Canis lupus familiaris: one gene and its partner. The protein of the gene in region 2 interacts with the protein of the main gene of each other region in a pairwise test. Links are inferred from orthologs where the notes say so. Each region holds a gene or a part of one and is shown on either strand. Other genes may lie near its edges.

Region 1 (3,744 bases), on a different chromosome or scaffold from region 2:
AGGTCTCAAAGAAATCAGAGAGGAAAGGGAAAGATTCGAACTACATCACTGTTTGACATTGTCCAGCTGCTGCTTGGCAATAAATTCCTCTTTTTTTTTTTTTTAAATTTTATTTATTTATCCATGAGAGACACAGAGACAGAGACGCAGGTAGGGGGAGAAGCAGGCTCCCTGCAGGGAGCTTGACGCAGGACTCGATCCCAGGTCTCCAGGGTCACGTTCTGGGCCGAAGGCGGCACTAAACCGCCGAGCCACCCGGGCTGCCCATATTCCTCTTTCTTCTAATACTACTACTTACCCCCTCTGAAAAACGTTTAATATTAAAATAATAGTAAAAAAATTTAAAAAGTTCCTCGCTTAAAAGGGGAGGCCTATTGTGTAAATGAGAAATAGGCCATATTCATTCAGTCTCTTCCATACTTTGTTTAAAAGAAAATAAGGTATTATCTCATAAGATAAGGGTAAGCATTTAAAACAGTGTTGGGGGCACCTGGGTGGCTCGGTGGTTGGGCGTGCCTTTGACTCTGGTCATGACCCCGGGGTCCTGGGATTGAGCCTCACCTTGGCCTCCCCGCGTGGAGCCTGCTTCTCCCTCTGCCTGTGTCTCTACCTCTCTGTGTGTCTCTCATGAATGAATAAATAAAATCTTAAAAACAAAAACAAACCAAGAAACACAAAACAACAATCTTTGTAGGGAGACTATTCCTTGAGGCAGCCCTTTTGAATACTCCATAATCCATCAAAACGCCGCAATATGGACTGACCCCTTGTGTAACACATGCAATCTTGGTGTGCGACCCTACACTCGGCCTAAAACCTAACAACTCGATGACTCTAGAGGACGAGAAGGATCTCCGCCGCGGAAAGCCCCGTTCAGCGTCCCCCCGTAGGCGTGCAAGCCGCGGGCGGGCTCCTCAGATGCTGCGGTTGGGTGAGCATCCGCGGTAGGCTCTCCGCAAACGATACCGAGCAGGACCATTTCTTGATTAACTTCCACGTTCCTTCCCATTCGTTCATTCGTTCGAGACCTAGCGAGTCCATGCCTGTGCCCGAGGCACCGTGGGGCTGGACAGCGACTTAATGCAGTGAGAATGATGCAGCGAGGACGGGCTCAGGATGCTGCCGGAACGGGGCCCGAGGGCACACGCGGGGTGACCCGGCCGTGTGAGCGCGCCCTGCTCGCGGTCGGTGCTCCCGCAGGCGCCCTCATCGACTGCTCAGTGCCGGCTGCTCTGGTCTGCGCGGGCGAGCGCGTGGGGGCTCCTGGGAGGCGCTCGCCCAGCGGCGATGGATTAGCCAGGCCTCAGGAAGATGGCGTCCTCGGAGCAGGCAGAGCCGCCGAGCCAGGTGAGGGGAGAGGGCTGCCCCGCCGCGGCTGCCGCGGCGCCCCGAGCCTCCCCGCCCGGCGGCCGCGACCTCAGGCCCCCGGCCCCGCCCCCGGCGGCCCCGCGCGGGTCGGTGCCTCCTGCGCTCGGCCGGGAGGCGGCGGGACCCTCGGGGCGCAGGCGGCCGCGGCGGCGGGGCTCCTGCCCGGGGGCGGCCGCGAGGGGCCGTGGGCCTCGGGCGCGGGGTGGGGGGCGCGGGGGAGCCGCCGCCTGCAGAGCCGCCCGCTCCCGCCCGTCGGCCGCGGGGTCGGCCCCACGCCTCGCGGGCCTGGGGCTCCTGCCGCAGCCGGGCCCCAGCAGGTCGCGGTGCGGGGCCTCCGGGACGGGATCCGCGGGCGGGGGAGCCGGAGGCCGGACCGCGACCCCGACCCGACCCGACCCGACCCCGATCGCGACCCCGACCCCGCCCCTGACGCCGACCCGACCCCGACGCCGACCCGACCCCGACTCGACCCCGACCCGACCCCGACCCCGACGCCGGACCCCGACGCCGACCCGACCCTGACCCCGCCCCGACCCCGACGCCGGACCCGGACGCCGACCCGACCCTGACCCCGCCCCCTCCCCGACGCGGGACTCCGACCCGACCCTGACCCCGACCCGACCCCGCCCCTCCCTCGCCAGCTCCCTCCTTCATCGCCTGAAGCCGCTCCCTCCGCGTCCCTGGCGGTGGGGCTGCCGCAGGCCCGGCACGGACAGCGCCTGCCCCCAGACCAGCTTCTGCTACAGCGAGCGACTCGGAGACGACGTGTGGGTCGGAGCGGCGGGAGCCCCGGGCGGTCTGGGATCCCGAGGCGGCCGGGCCCCCTCCGGCCTCGCGCCGCGGGGCCCCAGGAAACCCGGCTCTGACGACCGCCGCGTGCTAGGATCGCCCACCGCTCGGACCGCGGCCGTCAGCCCCGACTCCTCCAGGGCCTTAGGTCGCCAGCGCGGGGAAGGCCCCCAACAGCCCGCCACCTGCAGCCGTCCTAGTGCACGAGGGCCCCTTGGTTCAGGAGATTGTCCCCCCGGTAGGTGTGCAGCGGCTCCCAGGCCCTTTGCGGGGCTTTGGCCCGCACCTGTTTGCTTGTCGGCTCTGCCTGTCCTTTGCCCTCCTGTCCAGAGCTGCTGGAACTGGGGTTGCCCCAGGACGCTGGCCGTCTGCGGGGAATTAGATCCCTCCATGCCGGATCCTGTCCGTGTCTAGCACTAAGCCGCAGGTGCACACTGACCAGGAACCAGCTCCCGCAGGACTCGCTTGCCGTTTCACTGTCAGATCCTGATCCGCTCGGCTTCCCTGGTTCTGCAGTCAAAGCAGAGTGGAATGGAAAGGATTACTTGCAAATTCCTGTAAACCTGGTTTGCAAGAAAGAACACATTGTACCTTCGGGACGAGTCAGTGTTTATTTCACAGAAGGTCTCTGTCGGTCGGCCTTGTGGCCTCGGTCTCTCGTTCTGAAAGACACAGGGTGACGTCAACCCTTGCTTCCTTTGAGAGGCCGTGGAGAACAGCGGCATGGGCCCCGGCGCCATCCTGCCGGCTTAGGATCCTAGCCTCACTGCTTACAGCTTTCTTTGGCTTTAGTTTCTCCATCTGCACACTAGGAATAATTCTGGTGCCTGTCTTAGAGGGTTTCTCTGAGGAGTAAATAAATTAACTTATTTAAACTTTTTAAAGATTTATTTGAAAGAGACAGTGTGCGCACCTGTGTGTGCAAGCAGGGCAGGGGCAGAGGGAAGAGGAGAGAGAGAGGGTCTCAAGCAGACTTCTCTGCTGAGTGTGGAGCCAGCCGGGGGCTTCATCCCCAGACCAGAGATCATGACTTGAGCCAAAACCAAGAGTCAAGACACTTAAGCAACTGAGCCACCCAGATGTCCCCAAATTAACTTATTTTGGAATAGTGCTTGTCATGCTGTGATGTTATTATTGCATTCATTAAACTCTGGATTTTCACTCGCCAATGAGAGAAATCTTTCTCAAGCCTTATTATAATGTTTTAGGATATGATTTTTCACATGTTGACTACCAGCCCACTAAAGCTGTTCTTTTCTTTGTTCTGGAGCAATTTCTTTCCAATTTAAAGGAATACCCCAAATGCTGGTGTTTATCCTAGCTGTCCTTTGTGACTCTTAGATGGCGACACACTTGCTTTTTTCATAATGCTGATCTTTTTGGTCTTTTTTCAAGACATTCTCTTGGACTTAGAAATCATATTTATTGCTTCTCATCCTTGTTCTGTTTCCCCCATGTTACTCTAGTTTGCATGGTTGATCTCTTAGGAGAGGCCCTTCTAGTCTGTTCGTGGTATGGCCCATAGGAGTGGGAGCTGTTATCCTGTTTCTGCACTTCTCCACCAGAAGAGCAGAAGCATGATTCAGT
Region 2 (3,744 bases):
GACCTCCTCCCACCTGCCAGGATCCTGAACCGGGGTCTGAGTCAGTTCTCCACGGGCCAGCGATGCCTGGAGGAGACGGCGGACTTTCTTTTCACCTCTTGGACTTAAACAGAAGCCATTCATTACAGATAGGGAAGGAGCAGGGCGTGTGAAAACACACACACACACACACACACACACACACACACACACAATATGGCCAAACTGGGTCTCGCACCCCGGGATCTTCCAACGCTCATTTCCATACCGAAGCGTGTGTGTGGTTCGTCTCCCGGCGGCGGCGGAGGACGTGCACTTTTCGAAGGAGACGCTCACAACTTCATCGCGCTACCGTCGCTCTCCGCTGCAAAATCCACTCTAGACGCGTGGAAATGCATCCAGAGCCTAACCTCCAGTCTCTCCTCCGGCCAGGCGAGCCCTTCCCCGGCTGCGGTCGGGTCCGAGGAACTTCCCGCTCGCCCCTTCCTGCTAACGAGGCCGCTCCTGGAGGAAGGACGCCACCCGGTCCATCCACACCTCTGCAGCGCCCCGTCCGAGCCCGCGCCCCCCGGCCCCCGCCCCGCCCCCCAGACCTTCCTGCCTCACCTTCTCTCGCGACGCGGGAGCCTGGGCTTTAACCCCTTCCGGTCCCCCAGAGGGAACGGGGGGAAGACTAAAGACAACGCACCTACTGCGTGACGCAATTCTGTTCCCCGAGGAAACGAGAGCTTTGGAACGAAAGTACCAGGCCCTCTCGCAAAGGGCTGAGCGAGTGAACTCTCGCCTCTTCTTGTTTGTGGGGAAACCAGAAAAGCTGCCTGGCCCGCCGCCACAACCCCTTGCCCCCACTGCCAACCCCGCGGGCGGTAGAAGTGCGGGGGACAGAACTCGCAGCGTCCCAGAGAAGCCTCCATAGGACTCCGATGTCTAGGGCGTTGTAGCCGCTGCCAGAAATATCGATGAGCGCCTACCTTCAGGTTTACAATGGACATAATTGCAAATTAAAAGAGAGAGAGTCCCACCCCCCCCCCCCCACCCCCCCACCCCCCCACCCCCGGTGGATTAGCAGCAGCGACCTGGCCTCAGGTGCCCTCTGGCAGAGTAGCGCAGGCGGCGCGCTGGCGGCCGGGGTGGGCGGGGGTGGAGAACTCGGTGCTCTGCCCGTTGTGCCTGGCGAGGTGCTGCTGTCCCCGGGCCTGGGGAGTCCCAGCGCGGACGGGGAGGCGAGCGGTGGCGGAGGAGATGGCTTCCCAGCCGCCTCCTCCCCCGAAACCCTGGGAGACCCGGCGAATTCCTGGGGTCGGGCCGGGCCCGGGCCCCGGCCCCTCTTTCCAGTGAGTGTGGGATTCTTCTGGCCGCGGGGCTGGCGGGGCGGAGCGGCGGTTTGGCAGGAGACGGTTGAGGCCGTTGTGGGGCGGAGGTGTCCCCTCCCCCCGCGCCGGGCCCGGGCGCCGAGGGGTCTAAGCTAGAGACCACTCCGGGGCCGCACGGCTCTCTCGGACTGGACGGCTCTCGGTAGGGACGCTCTTCAGGGGGACCCTCCCTGGGTCCCGGCGCCTGCAGGAAAGCGGGAGGCTTTCCTGCCTCCGTTTCCTGGGAGCGGAACACGGCGACAGAACCGCTCGGCCCTTAGAAAAAAATGTTCGACTTTTGGTCTTTGGCAGGTGTGAGTGGCTGAGATTGGCCCAGCCCCAGGTCGCCCCGGAGGGAGCAAAGTCTCCGCCCGGCTTTTACGGCGCCTCTCGGGCAGCTGGTGGAGGCCCCGAAGGTCGCTGTGAACCCAGGTCTATGCACTTTATGTTGTTTTTCTGCATAACTGAGCGACGTTTTGGGTAAAGACCTGGAGAAGCAACTTTCAAGCGGGAGTCCTAAATCCGAGGCCTATATGTAGATGGCCTTTGTGGGTCACTTTTCCAAGGCCTGTGTGTTGTTGTTTATTTATTTATTTGTTTGTTTCTCATCGGTGTCTTTTTTTTTTAAGATTTTATTTATTTATTCATGAGAGACACAGAGAGAGAGAGAGGCAGAGACACAGGCAGAGGGAGAACCCCCCCACACACCCCCCACCCCCATATACTGGGTGTATTCCTGCTGTGTTGTAAGATCTTGTAATCCTTGTTGAAATGTTGAGATACTTGAACACATTAGCAGCTTAATCTAATAATGGTAGATTCATCACGAGTAATAAGCTTTGATTGTACTGTTAAGTTGGAGGGCGACGCTTTCTGCTGTGTTATGAATGATTTGACTTTTTTAAATTAATTAATTTTAAGGTTTTATTTATTTATTTATTTTATTCATGAGAGACACACACAGAGGGAGCCCGACGTGGGTGGGACTCGATCCCCGGGACTCCAGGATCACGCCCTGGGCCCCAAGGCAGGCGCTAAACCGCTGCGCCACCCAGGGATCCCCCCCCCCCCCCGCCATTGGACTTTTTTTAAAACCTTGAACAGCAATTTGGGAAGACAGGTTTTATACTTGGCATCTTGTTAAAAGTCCTGTTTATGTAAAATTAACCTTTTTTTCCCCCCATTTTTCTTCGTTGAGAATTTTAAACACATAGAAATCTGGTAGAGTGTTAAGACAAGGAATACTTGCGGACTCAGGCTAGCTTTAAGAACATTTTTCCAGATCTGCCTCAGATTTTTTTTTTTTTTCAGATTAAAAAAATAATAATAAAACTTAGAGAAAGTGTTAAGCCTCCCATTCTTCTTTCCTGCTATAACTACTGTCCCTATTTGGTGGTTTGTGTGCCCAATTATGTTTTTATAGTTTAGCAGTTTTTGTGTTTTATGTGTGTGTGTGTATCTGTGTGTATAGTGTTTAGTGTGTTTTTAGACTTTATGTTCAAACTATCATTTTGCAAATTTTTTCCATTAAATACTGATTTTGAGGTTTCTCTTGTTCATACTTACATCTGTAGTTCATTTTAATCGCCAAAGGATATTCTATTAAAACAAACTTATTCTGTTGTAGGTGTTAAAGTATTAGCTACATATTAAAAACCGCTAGTGATTTTTTTAAAAGATTATTTACTTATTTGTGAGAGAGAGAGAGAGAGAACATGAGCAGGGGCAAGGGGCAGAGGGAGAGGGAAAAGCAGACTCCCTCAGAGCAGGGAGCCCAATGCCAACTGATCCCAGGACAGTGAGATCACGACCTGAGCCTAAGGCAGACACCCACTGAGCCACCCAGGTGCCTCTGCAGTGACCATTCTTGTGCCTTTCTTCTTGTCCTCATTTCCAAGGTGTTTCCTAATTGTTATTGGAAGTGGAATTGCTTGGTGGAGGGTATGCTTAGCTTCAAGTACTAACTATTGCCAAGTTGCTCCCCAAAGTGGTTTTATACCAGTGTTTACATTTTCACTAGCAAAGTATTGTGTCTCTACATTCTTTCTAACACTTGATGTTATTTTTTAGTTCTTTATTTGCCAACCTAATAGATAAGAAAAGATATTTCATTTTTAATTTGTACTCTCTGGTTAGTAATAAGATTGAGCATCTTTTTTTTTATGAGCATCTTTTTGAATATTAGCCATTTGAGTTTTTTCTGTTGATATTTCTTGCCCACTTTTTTTATTGGCTCCAAATTTGCCTATCAACTTGTTAAAAGTCCTTTATTCATACTTACTCTATTTTTGTATGTTTTCAATATCTTTCAGTCTGTGACTTGTCTTCTTGCTGTATTTGTATTCATGTTCACTTTTGTTGTATAGATACTTTTAATTTAAATATAACCAAAATTTTCATATTTATTGTTTGT

Evidence for each region. The genes of interacting proteins can lie anywhere in the genome.
Region 1: the proteins of PEX13 (region 2) and PEX14 interact in a two-hybrid assay, tested with the Homo sapiens proteins (2 studies listed by BioGRID and IntAct, with this or other methods). The link is inferred for Canis lupus familiaris from reciprocal best matches to the Homo sapiens genes PEX13 and PEX14.

Annotation. Positions count from the first base shown.
Region 1 is NC_049223.1:84,907,825-84,911,568, reverse strand, and holds the start of PEX14 (peroxisomal membrane protein PEX14), read left to right. Parts: upstream 1-1,244; 5' UTR 1,245-1,311; coding exon 1,312-1,347; intron 1,348-3,744. UniProt on the Homo sapiens protein: Component of the PEX13-PEX14 docking complex, a translocon channel that specifically mediates the import of peroxisomal cargo proteins bound to PEX5 receptor.
Region 2 is NC_049231.1:62,394,011-62,397,754, forward strand, and holds the start of PEX13 (peroxisome biogenesis factor 13), read left to right. Parts: upstream 1-1,157; 5' UTR 1,158-1,221; coding exon 1,222-1,313; exon of another isoform or gene 1,314-1,614; intron 1,615-3,744. UniProt on the Homo sapiens protein: Component of the PEX13-PEX14 docking complex, a translocon channel that specifically mediates the import of peroxisomal cargo proteins bound to PEX5 receptor.